Arabidopsis thaliana: one gene and its partners. The protein of the gene in region 1 interacts with the protein of each later gene in a pairwise test. Each region holds a gene or a part of one and is shown on either strand. Other genes may lie near its edges.

Evidence for each region. The genes of interacting proteins can lie anywhere in the genome.
Region 2: the proteins of AT5G23280 (region 1) and PLDBETA2 interact in binary tests that used the Arabidopsis thaliana proteins (3 or more experiments, as listed by UniProt).
Region 3: the proteins of AT5G23280 (region 1) and NF-YC8 interact in binary tests that used the Arabidopsis thaliana proteins (3 or more experiments, as listed by UniProt).

The regions. Positions count from the first base shown.
Region 1 is NC_003076.8:7,841,045-7,845,201, reverse strand, and holds AT5G23280 (TCP family transcription factor), read right to left. Parts: upstream 2,596-4,157; 5' UTR 2,186-2,595; coding exon 1,433-2,185; 3' UTR 553-1,432; downstream 1-552.
Region 2 is NC_003075.7:105,695-112,872, reverse strand, and holds PLDBETA2 (phospholipase D beta 2), read left to right. Parts: upstream 1-1,867; 5' UTR 1,868-2,154; coding exon 2,155-3,342; intron 3,343-3,697; coding exon 3,698-3,814; intron 3,815-3,884; coding exon 3,885-4,079; intron 4,080-4,325; coding exon 4,326-4,574; intron 4,575-4,729; coding exon 4,730-4,798; intron 4,799-4,887; coding exon 4,888-5,035; intron 5,036-5,341; coding exon 5,342-5,490; intron 5,491-5,664; coding exon 5,665-5,841; intron 5,842-5,923; coding exon 5,924-6,121; intron 6,122-6,199; coding exon 6,200-6,493; 3' UTR 6,494-6,623; downstream 6,624-7,178. UniProt on the Arabidopsis thaliana protein: Hydrolyzes glycerol-phospholipids at the terminal phosphodiesteric bond to generate phosphatidic acids (PA).
Region 3 is NC_003076.8:9,940,114-9,943,428, forward strand, and holds NF-YC8 (nuclear factor Y, subunit C8), read right to left. Parts: upstream 1,335-3,315; 5' UTR 1,187-1,334; coding exon 623-1,186; 3' UTR 556-622; downstream 1-555. Other genes in the region: AT5G27920 (F-box family protein), read right to left, coding at 1,950-2,195, 2,283-2,577, 2,660-2,789, 2,886-3,285. UniProt on the Arabidopsis thaliana protein: Stimulates the transcription of various genes by recognizing and binding to a CCAAT motif in promoters.

The DNA of each region.
Region 1 (4,157 bases):
TTACATTATATAGCTAAGTGTTAATTACTAAGACCTAATTAAGAAAGAAAAAACACCAACTTTTTGTTAAGATCTTTCCATTAATGGATTCTTATTTTAATGAGAAAATTTGTTTGATTCTTTTGATTGGTTAGTGTGACCTAAATAGTCTAAAGAAGCCTATCTAATCACTTTGACATTTATTCATCAGGTATTATCGTGATAAATAAATTATTGGTTAAATACATTACTCAGCAGATATATAGCTGTGAAAACCACAAACGAAATCATTGAATCTATGCTATTTGTACCTTAAATATACTTTGCATAAGAAATTATACTATATCAGGGGTTAAAATAAAATTTACTTTTTTGATAGTCCAAATTATTACAACAGTGAAAATGGTTTTTGCCAAAATTAAAACAACCATTTGAACTCATGTTCGAGTGTATCACCCACATTTTTTTAGATAGCTAATCTCAAACAAGAGAAGAGACAATTCTAACACCTTTAATCTTTCAAATTGTAACAGTTTCTAGAACAAAAATATAGACAATTAATTTAAAGATATCATGTCGCCATATAGTTTTAACAGTACTTAAATTTAATATTTCTCTGACTAACGTGACAAACCAAACTTCCAAAAGCACAGTACAAAGATTCATATGAAACAAAAAGGCAACAAAATTGAAGAATTCAGACACAACTGGTTTGTCTCTTTTTCTTACTAAATCCTCTGTTCAGTTCTTGCATTAAATCAAGACGCGAAACGCCAAAAATAAATAGCATCTCAAAATCCACAATTCATACATATATCCACTAAAAAAATAAGAGATTATTATGATTCTGTTCAAAAATCCATCATCCGGTTCGATTTCAACGAAACAATCACTATCACATAAAGCTTTTTGTGTATCAATAAATGCAGAGAAGGAAGGAACAATATGAATTCGAAACATTTATTAGAAATAAACGTGGTTAACAGCTTACGCAAATGCTTCACCACAATTGTTGTAACACATTACACAATTAGCAACAACAACAACAAACCATATTAAAACATTTAAATATATATCTGAAATTTTAATCGACGGCTCTGTTTCACCGGAAAAAAAAAACAGACACAAAAAAAAAAAGAGGAAAAGAAACCACCGTGGTTTCTGAAATTTTCCCTTTTTTCCTAAAAGTAATCTTGGATCCGATAAGAAATCGATCTCCCTCCAAAAAAACAACAGATTCTTAAACCCTAATTTAACCCTAATCAAAAACAACCGTCTTTAACTTACTTAAAGCTAACGAAAACTCTCAAATCACTTGCAGAGATTCTGAAACCAAATCAATCTCTAACAACACTAAAACACACACATAGAGAAACAATGACAACAATAGAGAAGAGAAGATAATAAATATATATACCAAATTTTGCCCTCAAACCTAAAAGGGCTTAAACCATTAACGTGGATCTTCCTCTCTTCGATCCGACCCGGGAGATCCACCGGATAAAGAAGCAAGCAAATTAAGATGACCCGGAAGATAATTCCCAACTCTAGCAGCAGAAGCTTCACCCATTGCAGCTTGTTGTTGCTGTTGCTGATGAACAAACAATGGTTGCTGATGATGATGTTGTTGTTGTAAAAACATCTCTTGTGGAGCTCCAGCAAAACTCCAAACTTGTCCAAAATCCGGCCTCGCCGGAACAGCCCAAAACCCAGCTGGTGTTGTCGTAAAGGTCTCATCTTTACCAACAGAACTATGATTATGACTATTATTACTATCCTCATCAGCTCTAACACGTTTCCCAAGTATAAACGGTGACGTACCACCAAGTAAAGAAGTGGGTTTATGATCTAAAGAAGTAGAATTGGTGGCTCCACGGATAGAGACAGAAGCAGTTGAGAAACTCGCTGGAGTTGTACCAGTTCCTGTTGCAGCTATAATAGAAGGCTCTGCTTGACGAAGTAACCATTCAATTGTTTGGCCATCTGACTTATGACCAAGCTCTCTCGTTAGCTGAAAAACACGAGCAGCACATATAATCGGCATACGGATTCTTCTCCCTCTTCCATCGACTTTGCTATGTCGATCTTTCGCCGGTGGTTTCTTCACAACGACTGATGGTTGTTGTTCGATTAAAGCTCCGTTTGATGAGATCATAAGACCATCGTTGTTATTGTTGTTGTTGTTGTTGTTGTTGTTAATAGACATGGTTTTCGATCTGGGTTTAGTGTTTTCTTTTTCTCACTTGGCTTGTGATTACTCTCTCTGTGAGAGAAGAGAAGAGAAGAAGCTAATGATTGAGAAGGAGGGAGCTGGTGGAGACAGGAAGGAGAAGCACATGGGTGTGGTGGGGTCCTTTTCACACAGCTCACCATCTCTGGTTTTTTTTCTCTTTTTTTTTTTGCTTTTTTGAGAGGACATTAGTTTTGTCCCGACGCGGTGGAGCTCACGCGCGTTATTACTCCGGTGAAGAAGAAGGTCGCGTGGGGACCAAACTCCGGCAGGAGAATTTAACACTAGGTAGGTGGGTCACTCCTCCGGCTGCTACGTGCATTTAAAGAGACATTTATCCTTTGCCACGTCATTATATACATTATTACTAACTTACTATAAGCTTGAATTTGGAAATTAACACGAAGATACTAATCTTATTTAAAATACATGAAACTAAATGTATTGAAGTTGGTCTCTCTGTCTAAAAAAGTTTTTTTTTGTTTTTAAATTTTTGGGACCAACCTAATGTGGTTATTAGATTTGGGCTAATGTGAACATTTGTTTTGTGATTACGTGAAAATTAATCTTTTTTAGAAAGCTGTTTCCATAAAACAATCGAAAAGATTGAAAAGGAGACAAATCAGTGAGGTAATTGATTGGTAAGTAGACTTTGACATCAAAACTTAATTGAGTTATAAAACAATCAAAATTTAATACTAGTGTTTGTTCTTTTTATTTATTTGTTTATAGTATATTGGTAATAATATTTGCCACCAGTTACTCTGCCGTAAATGCCAGTAGCCCAGTATCACGTGTTTTACGTGAAATGGCAAAAATCGAAACCCTTAAAAATTATTCAGAATTCTTTTGTCGACATCACAAAAGAAAGTTACCTGTAATTAGTTGAGTTTTGCCAACTAAAATACCCAAAGACATTTAAATTAATAGTACTATAAATTAAAAATATTATGGTTTTAATGTTATTAATTTATAGAGGTTTTACTGTATATAATATAAATATATATATAAAATAAATGTGTGTATAAAATAAAAAGAACGAACATTAATTTTAATAACTCCCATTTTGAGACTGACATTGAAAATAAGTGGATTAGTCCACTTGTCAGATACGCAAGATTTTCTTTATGTCGTTCGTCTCATCGCAACGAGATTTTCTTCACATATCGTGACAACAATTTATTTTATGACTTATGCTGAGTTATGCACCACCAAACGCTAATATTTGTTTTAATTATTTTCGTACTCGTACCCCCTAATTAAATGGATTTTCTTATCGTTAATTTTTAACATTCTTGTGAGCTAATGCAAAAAAATAAATGCAATCATGAGCGATATGGCATCATGTCGGCAGTTTTATAAAAAGATTGTGTACCTTGAACTTTTGATCCTTTTTTTTTTTAATCTAAAAGATTTCGGAATCCATTTTTTGTGTAACTATAAACTTGAAACCTAATCTGATACAAAATGTTGTGGAGTGAATAATAATACTAATTTATAAATCATGTGAATAGTATTCACTTGTAACAAAACAAAACAAAAAAGTAATTAATATTGGATAATGGATGATAACAATTGTTTGTTCGAGATTGACTTGATGGTTGATTTAGTTATGTTACAAACAAAAATAAATAACCAATTTAATTTCACTTCTAAGTTTTGGAAACAACTGATAAGATATGATATGGTAGATAAATTCAATAATTTAAAAATCGCTATCCAAATGAGAATGGGTCAAATTTGGGTTATTTTAAGTACAAATAGAGAGAGAGAGTTTTTTTTAATAATCTTGTGAAGTGTTAGAGAATTTTTAGTAGCCGGAAAATTATAATAATTTTAAATATTTTAACAATTCAAACGGATAATTTGGATACTCTTAATAATTACTCGACATGTATCTTTATCGTAAAAAATGATCATTTTAGTCTAAACAAAAAATTTATATTAT
Region 2 (7,178 bases), on another chromosome or scaffold:
CTTAGGGTTTATCTTTCTATCTACGTTTATGGATTTTTAGTCTTTTGGATTCTCGTGTGAGAATTAGCTATAACAAGATTAAGATAAGTTGTCTAACAAACCTTTTGGTCGATGGTTGTAATGAACTTTTAGGATTTTGTAAATGTGCTTCTTTTTTTAATGTCTCTCTACTCAAAACTCATGACCAGAGTTATTACAAAACAAAGAAACACACAATAGAATGGATTCACAAACATATTCAACAAGAGTTCTAAATAGCTTATATGGTGATAGGTTCAACCTCATTAAACAAAATGGATTCTGAAATGATGTTTGTAAATTGTATATTTATTGTTTATGATAATTACGTGCAGTTTGAGTTATTCTGGTGACACTAGTTCCTCTTTCTCAAGTACCAAATGCAACCAAAATAAAACATATACATTTAGTTACAATCTTTCACAGAAGTTATTATGTCTATAATAAAAAAATTAAGAGATTCTGCATCTTGAAACTGCAAAGTAGGTGAGGAAATAAAAAGAAACATAAATTGTGTTTATGAGCATGCTTGTTGTTAGAGTCCCAATATGTAGTAGAGTAGCTTGCAAGAAATCAGAGTTAATTATGCGTTTAAGAGCATGCTTGTGTGTGTAAGTGTTTCAAGTAAAACTATAATAAGTATGTGTGTTTGTATCTTGTAAGAGAATCACCCAAGTTTTATTATCAAGACATCATGCTCTTAAACGTGTTCTTGTTTCTCTCTAAAGAAAACAAAAGCAAAACAGAGTGACAAGAGAGTGAGAGTGCTGACCTCAAAAGAATGTTGGAAGAGGTAGTTTGAGAGTGAAAGTGTGATTTTCAACAGATATCTTCCTCACGTAGAAGAAGTTGAATGGTTAATATCAATATTGTTATGTATAACCAAGAAAGCTATAGAATTGCACTATGATATTGTGAAGCTGCAGAAAAATAAACAACAGTAAAGTACATACTTGAACAAGAAAATGAACTTTGTTAGTCCGCGTACTTGTCTTAACTCTTATGCAGGGGTAGCCAAGCAATATGAAACATTTAGTGTGGCCCATTTTTTTTTTTTCAAATTCTTTAACAAAAATTATTTACAAAATGGCCCCAATTTTATTGATTTTAACGATAATTGGCCCTAAATTTTAAAACCTTTCAAAATAATCTTGGATTTTTTGTTTTTTTGTATGTTGCCCATAAAACCGTCAGGTCTTAGGTAAAACATCTATAAATTAATATTCAATAAATTAATAAACTTTATAAATTAATAAATTCATTCAATCCCGAGTTGAAACCAGTGTAAGAATTGATACAAATCGATAAATTAATAAAATAATAACTTTTTGTGAAAATCATATGTAAATATTTGGTCCCATCAATATTATAAATTCACTAATTTATATATATATATATATAGATATATACTAAAATATGAATATAGTATTCAATTTGTATTAATTCTTTGTAGAATTTAATTCTAATATTTTTACTAAATCGAAAAATTTAGTTTTGGTTTTTAAACTTGATAATTGTTTAATAATTGTAATTGGTTTCAAAAATATTATTGATTATAAGAAAAGAAAAAAAATACCTTTTTTGATTGAATATTATAAGAAATTACATAATTTGTAAAATTTCTTTATAAATTAATATCTCTTCAAATTAATAAATTTTATCAATCTTAAAATTATTAATTTATAGAGATTTTACCTAATATGCATTTTTAACTAAAAGTCATAATGTTATATATTTTATTTATATTTAGAGAATAATATATATATTAAAAAAAAAAAAAAAAAAGGTTGACAAGTGGAAATATGTGACCGGCAATAGTAAGTTAAGTTGACCAAAACCAAAACCAATAAAATCAAAATCGAGAGACTCTTTCTTCCCCCAAGCGAAGAAGCGATGATCAAAATTTTACAACGGTTCCTCCATTTTCAGCGAAGGTAAGTCTCACCTAATTCCTTGGAACTAAGCTCCGCTGTGATCCGAATGTACTTATATATCTCTCTCTTCTGATCAATTCGCAAACCGCCATTGTTGCTTTTTTGAAATTTCGCTTCTGATGAAGAAATGTTGATCGGAGAAAACGTTGAAGACGTTTGAATTTCTTTATGAATTAGTCAGTTGTGGTGTTAGTTAGTTACGATGGAGAATTATGGTTGGAATTACCCTTATTACCCTTACAGGCCTCCGCGGCCTAATCCTCCTTACCCAGCACCGCCTCATCACCATGGATCAATGTCTCATTCGGGTCCATTAGACCACCACCACCCTCCAATGAGTTACTATGCTTCTTTTGATTACCAACACCAACCTCCTCCTCCTTACCCTCCAGTGAGTTACTATGCTTCGTTTTCAAGTCATTCAGATTTATCATACTCAGGCAGGCTAGATTCGTCTGGTCATGGTTTTACATCTACCGCATCGCCGCATAGTCCCGGTATGCACATTGTGCCCTTTGGTAAAGCCTCCTTGAAGGTCCTCTTGTTGCATGGTAATTTGGATATTTGGGTTTCTTGTGCTAATAATCTACCAAACTTAGATTTGTTTCATAAGACATTGGGTGTTGTGTTTGGTGGCATGACCAATATGATCGAAGGCCAGTTGAGCAAGAAGATCACTAGTGATCCTTACGTGTCCATATCAGTCGCTGGTGCTGTCATAGGAAGAACATATGTCATTAGCAACAGCGAAAATCCTGTCTGGCAGCAGCATTTTTATGTCCCTGTAGCTCATCACGCTGCCGAGGTCCATTTTGTTGTTAAGGACAGTGATGCCGTCGGTTCACAGCTTATAGGAATTGTTACAATCCCTGTTGAACAAATTTACTCAGGTGCAAGAATTGAAGGGACTTACTCCATTCGAGACAGCAATGGAAAGCCTTGTAAACCAGGGGCAACTCTATCATTGTCGATTCAGTATACTTCAATGAATAAACTCAGTGTTTATCACAGCGGAGTTGGTGCAGGTCCCTATTACCAGGGGGTGCCTGGAACATATTTTCCTCTTAGGGAAGGTGGAAGTGTCACATTGTACCAAGATGCACATGTACCTGAAGGGATGCTCCCGGGAATAAAACTCGGAAATGGAATGTGTTACGAACATGGAAAGTGTTGGCATGATATGTTTCATGCCATTTGTCAAGCTAGACGTTTGATTTATATTACAGGCTGGTCAGTGTGGCATAATGTCAGGCTTGTTCGGGATAAAGAAGATCCTTCTTCAGAATGTAGACTAGGTGAGCTCCTAAGATCAAAGTCCCAAGAAGGTGTGAGAGTCCTGCTTTTGGTTTGGGACGACCCAACTTCACAAAACATCTTGGGATACATGACCGTAAGTTACTGGAAACCTCAAGTCCCTACTTCTTTATTGGTTGTGAAGTGCATATGTTAGCTAGGCTATATAGGGTAGGAACCAGAACATCTTTTAGAGTCTCGGAAGTCAACAGCTTTGGCTTCTTCAAGTCGTATTGAGGTTCCTTCCGTTTATTTGTTAGCCTACTTTTCCTTGTAGACCAGAAATTTTTTGGTGGGTTTAATCTTCAGTTTGAATCTAGTAAGTATGAGAAATGTTTGCTTCACGCAGAAACCTGCAACTAGATAGAGATATATGTATCTTAGATGACATAGTTTAGATATGGTTATTCATGTATGTTTTAGGTATTGACACAATTTGTTCACATGAACAGGATGGGGTTATGGGAACCCATGACGAGGAGACACGCCGTTTTTTCAAGGACTCCTCAGTGCAAGTCTTGCTATGCCCTCGAAATGCTGGAAAGCGACATAGTTGGGTCAAACAGAGGGTAGAACATGAATTTTTGGTCTTTTTTTTGGTTGTGGTATCCGGCTTCTATTTATATTTTAGTCCATCAGGAAGTTGGAACCATCTATACACACCACCAAAAAAACTTAATAGTAGATGCCGATGCTGGGGGTAACAGAAGGAAAATCGTAGCTTTTGTGGGCGGGCTTGATCTATGTGATGGCCGATATGATACTCCTCAACATCCGTTGTTTAGGACACTGCAAACAGATCATAATGGTGACTATCACAACCCCACTTTCACGGTATGTCTGCTTGCCTTTCTAAATATATATTAGTGTAACTTTGGTGTCGAATACTTAAGGAATTTATAGCAAGGAATAACCTTTGGCAGTGGAAAAACATACTGCTTTTAACTTTATTAAGTGGTACTTCAATCTTTGTCTGTCTTCTCAAGTTCTTCTTGGTGATTACCTAAGTAATTCTTAGTTGCTAGTTTCTTTTGTTCTGAATGGGAAAGCCTTGACTTGGATTACTAAAATGTAATTAAGGGTAACGTGTCCGGTTGTCCAAGAGAACCTTGGCATGACTTGCACAGTAAGATTGATGGCCCAGCTGCGTATGATGTGCTGACAAATTTTGAGGAGAGGTGGCTGAAGGCTGCTAAGCCTCACAGAATCAATAAATTGAAGACGTCATATGATGATGCACTACTAAGGATCGACAGGATTCCAGATATATTAAGAGTTTTGGATGCTCCTACTGTTAGTGCAAACGACCCCGAGGCTTGGCATGTTCAGGTACGCACCATTGTATTAAAGTTTGGTTCTGATTAATTCACAAAGTCCATGGAAAGATGCCCATCTCTCAGTTGAACCATGCAAATTTTATACTTTGGTCCACAAATATTGTCCCAAATTTCTGAAGCTAATAATTGTCTGGTTTTGTAAATCAGATTTTCCGGTCAATCGATTCAAACTCTGTGAAAGGTTTTCCAAAGGATCCAAAATATGCTACAAGCAAGGTGAGGTGAAAAAATCAAAGAAACTTTGTGCTGTCATTATGATTTGGTTGGCTTGGAAATTGATGGATAGAGGGATTTTGTTTGGACAGAATTTGGTGTGCGGTAAGAATGTGCTCATTGACATGAGCATACACACCGCATATGTAAAGGCCATTCGTGCAGCTCAACACTTCATCTACATCGAGAACCAGTATTTCATTGGATCCTCCTACGACTGGAATGCTCACAAGGACATAGGTTTGTTTGTCTTTGTTTTTTCAAGTGAGCTCATGATTAGGAAAAACTCAAGATTACGATAATTTTCTCAAAATGTGTGTATATATACATGAATTAATACACAGAACAGAGACATTGTTTTTATCACTTTTCCAGTGCATTTAGCTGCGTCTGTGGTAACTCTTTTGCTTGTGGTTTTGACATTTCAGTTTCTTTGGTATTAAAATGTTGAGCACTATTCTCAGTATTTTTCTCAACTTAAGACAATGGTCTTGACAACCTTGGTCATTTCTTTAAGGTTGTTTATTCTATGTTGTGGTCATGTAGGTGCCAACAACCTGATTCCTATGGAAATTGCGTTGAAGATTGCTGATAAGATCAGAGCAAAGGAACGGTTTGCTGCATATATTGTCATTCCAATGTGGCCAGAAGGAGTTCCTACCGGCGCCGCTACACAAAGAATTCTATATTGGCAGGTAATTCTAGTGAAGTTGTGTCTTTGCAAACCGTTAACCTTCTCTGTCTTAGTCCATGTGACAATATTGATATCATGATCTTTCCCTTAATATTTCCTCAAAAATTGGTCAATGATCATTTAAGTAGACACTAGAAGATTGTGAAACTAAATGTCATAGTTATCGTCTTTGCAGCACAAGACGATGCAAATGATGTATGGAACTATCTACAATGCGTTAGTGGAGGCCGGGCTTGAAGATGAATACTCCCCACAAGACTATTTGAATTTCTTCTGTCTTGGAAACCGAGAAATGGTGAACGGAAATAATGAATCGGGTACAGGAAGTGCAAGCAACGAGAACACTCCTCAGGTAACAAAACCAAACTGCTTGACTTGCTAATGCGGTTTCTATCGTCATTGATTGATGAGTTTTGATTGAAACTGTATTATAGGGATTATGTCGAAAGAGCAGAAGATTTATGATATATGTTCATTCAAAAGGGATGGTTGTTGATGATGAGTATGTGGTAATTGGATCTGCAAACATAAACCAAAGATCAATGGAGGGGACAAGAGATACAGAGATTGCAATGGGAGCTTACCAGCCTCAACATACATGGGCACGACGACAGTCAGGTCCTCGGGGTCAGGTAATAGCACACAAAGATAGTACACACATGGTTTCATAGTCCTAGTCGTATCAATAATACTTGGTACATAATCTGCAGATCTACGGATATAGAATGTCGCTTTGGGCAGAACACATGGCACTGCTAGATGATTGCTTTGTGGAGCCAGAGAGTCTAGGGTGTGTAAGGAAAGTGAGAACAGTGGCGGAGGAGAACTGGGAACAGTTTAGGAGTGAGGAAGTGTCGGAGATGAGAGGACATCTGATGAAATATCCGGTGGAAGTTGATCGGAAAGGCAAAGTCCGACCACTTCCAGGAAGTGAGGAGTTCCCTGATGTCGGAGGAAACGTTGTTGGATCCTTTCTAGCCATACAGGAGAATCTCACTATCTAATCATAAGCAGAGTCGCATTTATTAAGAAGACCTTATATGTGTAAACAAACAACAATTGATCAGACTTTGTAAATAAACAAAGTTTGATGTTTCTCCTCAAGTTTGAATAACAAGTAAAAAGAAGCTACTTAATCCTAATTCTATTTAGAATAAGAAATCATGTACATGAAAAAGCTTTGGCCTGGCTATAAAATCCGAAATCCGAAAACCGATCCGGAACCGAACTTGAACCGAATAGTTACAAAATCCGAATGGATAATGAATTCTCCTATCCGAATTACTCGAACCGAATCCGATCCGAACCGAAATCCGAGAGGATATCCGAAAACTGAAAAATATATATATCCAAAAATATTATTTATATTTAGTTGTAATTTTATAATAAATAACAAAATATCCTAAATAATAAAGAAATTGGAAATCTTTTAGTTACATTTGTTAATAGTATACATACTTTTGCAAAATTTAACCAAATTTTAGTAAAGATTAAACCAATTTTTATTTAAGTTGAACAATTTTTAGCTCTTTAAAAACCGGTCCGAATCCGACACTTATCCGAACAAAAACCAAACCAAAGATTAGTAAAATCCGAACGGATAATAAATTTTCTATCCAAATTATCCGAATCCGAAAATATCCGATCCGAATTCGATCCGAAAATTCATAAAATCCGTACGGATAATAA
Region 3 (3,315 bases), 2.1 Mb from region 1:
CTTATGTAAGTATACATGGGAAGACATAGAAGAAGATAGAGATAGAGGGGAAAAAGAACCAAACTTTAGATCTGGCCACAATCGTTAATTTCTATGCAATTGAAGTATAAAGAGGAAGAAATAGAAGAAGATCGGCAATAAATAAACGAAAATCAATGGCTTACCTTACCAGATTCGTCGGCAAGGGGAGGATCAGAAATTAATACTTGGATTGCTAACGGCGACAAGAACGAGAAGAAGGTTTCAAGGAGACAATCAAGTTCTGGGCTTGATTGAAGAAGATGAGAGTAACCGACGGTGAACGCAATCGCCAACGACGGCGCTAGATTTTGGGAGGATATTTTGCGGTGTGAAGAAAAAACAAGATTTTTATTTTCTCATATATTACTTTTGGTGCGAGAGAATGAATATAATGTTAGCTTCTGAATATTTCAAATTTCAAACCGAGAATCATCACGCTCCCAAATAGTGTATTGTCCCCTCAATGTCTAAGGTTATACATGTAATAATACATGTGTTTCCGACAGAACATTGTATCTCATGGCTATTTCTTTAAAAAAATTAGATCCATGACTATTTACTACATATTCCCTTGAAAATACCCTAAAACGTATTCCACTTATTAGTTTCCGTCGTCACCTCCTTTTTTCCCACGCGCTTCTTCCTCCTCACCAGACACCGAGGTCCAAGCTCCAGGCCATGCCTGCATTTGTGGTTGTGGTTGGTGGATTCCAAGACTACAACAAACAGGAGTTCCAATTACCATTCCTGGAGGCAGCTCTCCATCGTCAATAGGTGGCATGGCCACAGGATCAGCAGCGGCGGCAACAGACTCTCTCTTTACCTCAATGTCATCATCAAGCAAGAAATCAAAGATAACAGTTTGAGCCACTGCGGCATCGACATTAGATTTCTGTAGCGTGACTCGTTTGCTTTCCTGAGCATGGAGCCACGAACGCATCGTGAGATCCATGATAAACATCTCACATGCTTTCGAGAGGAGGATTGGAGCCTCACTAGCTATCATAGTCACATCCGGATCATACTTCATAATCTTCTTGATACGAGTTATAGGAAGGTCGTGATTTTTGAAATCTAAGTTACCTTCCATCTCTTTTGACCAGAAACTCTTCAGTTGCTCGTTACCTTTCGGTGGCAGCTGGTTGTTGCCGTTGTTGTTCTCCATAAGATTTTTTTCTTTTTTGAAGTTTCTAGTGTTCTAGGCTTGTTATTTTTTTATTTGAAGATTTGCATATATAAAGGAAAAGCTTAAGCATAGATTAGATATGGTGGGATAGTAAGCAGGTAAACTTTTACAACAATGAATCTTAACGCATTTAGTATATTGTTAAGAATATTTAATGATATTAACATTATTTGTTTGACTAACATTATTTGGTTATTATTATAAGAAGAAAAAAGAAAGTGATTTATTTTTACTTAAAGTGTATATATTATACCAATTAATAGTGTTAGAAAAAAGAAATAAAGTAAATACAAAACTATATTTTCTCTATAAAATTGCAAGATAATTTTTTGCTGTACAAAACTTATTTTGAATTATTTAGTTAAAAAATATGTTTTCAAATGTTAAATGTGAAAGCATAATTCATATCATTGCTCGAACACAAAGGAGTTACATGTTGCATCTGATTGGTTTAGCTTTCTGTTAGACTTCAAAAACATATGATCATCAGTTCATCACATAGATCTATTACACATCAACAACTTTCTAACTAGAAATCATTACTTAAGCGTTGTCCGATCTTTTTTACCGGTTATAGCAAAATATTTTACCGCAGCAATTCACTTAAACCGATTCATTTATATGGATCCAAAACAAACCGCTACTAAAGTTTCACTGATTTTTAACATTGAGATTATAAACATCAAAAACCTACAACAGTATAAACTAACCAACACAAGAAACCGCGTTGTTCTTTATGTTTTCAGTCCCATCTAATGCGGCAACCACGAGCATGAAGCGTCTCGAGCAATTCCGATGAGAGCAAGAATCTGAGAGGTGCGAGAAGTTTAAGCTTCTTGAGCCTATTGCAACAGGCTCTTAGAGCAAACTCAAACCCTTCTACAGTCACACGGCTCAGATGAACTAAGTCAACGTCTTGAACCCGACTCAGATTGCTCATCAACATGCATAGAGCCGTATCAGACACCGAGCAATTGCACAAGTTTATCTGCCAAACAAAACACACAACACAAGAATCAAACATGTTTCCAATAGATGCTTCCAGATCTCCATCTATAAATGTTATTTTTTGTACCTGTCGTAGGTTTTTCGAGAAGTAAGCGAGCGCCCAAAAACCCGAATCATCAATATTCTCGCAGAGTTTAACGTCCAAGTAACCCAATTTCTTGCAGCCGGACGCAATGGCTGCTAAACCAACACCGGTTATATTCTTTAGCCCTCGAAGTTCGAGGTGACTTAGAAGTTCTAGCTGCCGGATTTGTTCAACCCCGGTGTCAGTTAGTTCACAGCAGTATGATAGAATGAGTCGGTTCAAGCTCTTGCAACCTCGAGATAAAGCTGCTAAACCATCATCTCCAAAACCGGCACAGCTGCACTCAAAAACCAGAAATCAGTAAGAAAACGAAACATGTCTTGCACATTTTTCATCAAGAATCCACCAAGAAAGTGTACCGGTATAGATCAAGTTCTAGAAGCTTCGAACATTTGGAACCAATATGGAAAATCCCTTTGTCTGAGATATTTGTGCAGAGTCCAAGTTTCAATCTTTGAAGATTCGAACACTTCGAGATATATTCTAGCCCTGCGGTCCCAACGGAACAAAAAACCGTAAGATACCAAAGATGACAATATCTAAAACACAAACGGAGGTTTGAGTTCACATATATCTTTCTATTACCTCTGTCATTTACACCATAACAGTCAGTAAGATCAAGTTCTTGAACAAGCATGGAGTAACATCCAAGCGATTGAAGACCTTTCTCAGTTATCAAATGACAAGACTCTAACTTTAAAGTCCCTAGATTCCGGCAAGACTGAGCTACAGCAGAGATGGCTACATCCGTCACGAATCCGCAACACGCCAGATTTAATGTTTTCAGGTTTAAGCAGTTGCGTGCAAGACTTATCATCCCAATATCCGTCACATCAACACATCTGCTCAGTCCAATCTCCATTAAAGATCTACAGCTAGAGCTTAAACTTACAAGAGAGGAATCAGAAACATGAGCTCCATCAATCCATATAGTCTTGAGATGCTTCAAACCTTTGATGTACTTTAAGAAGCTACCAGAGACTTCCTGTGAATCACAAAGATTAGCAGAGAACAC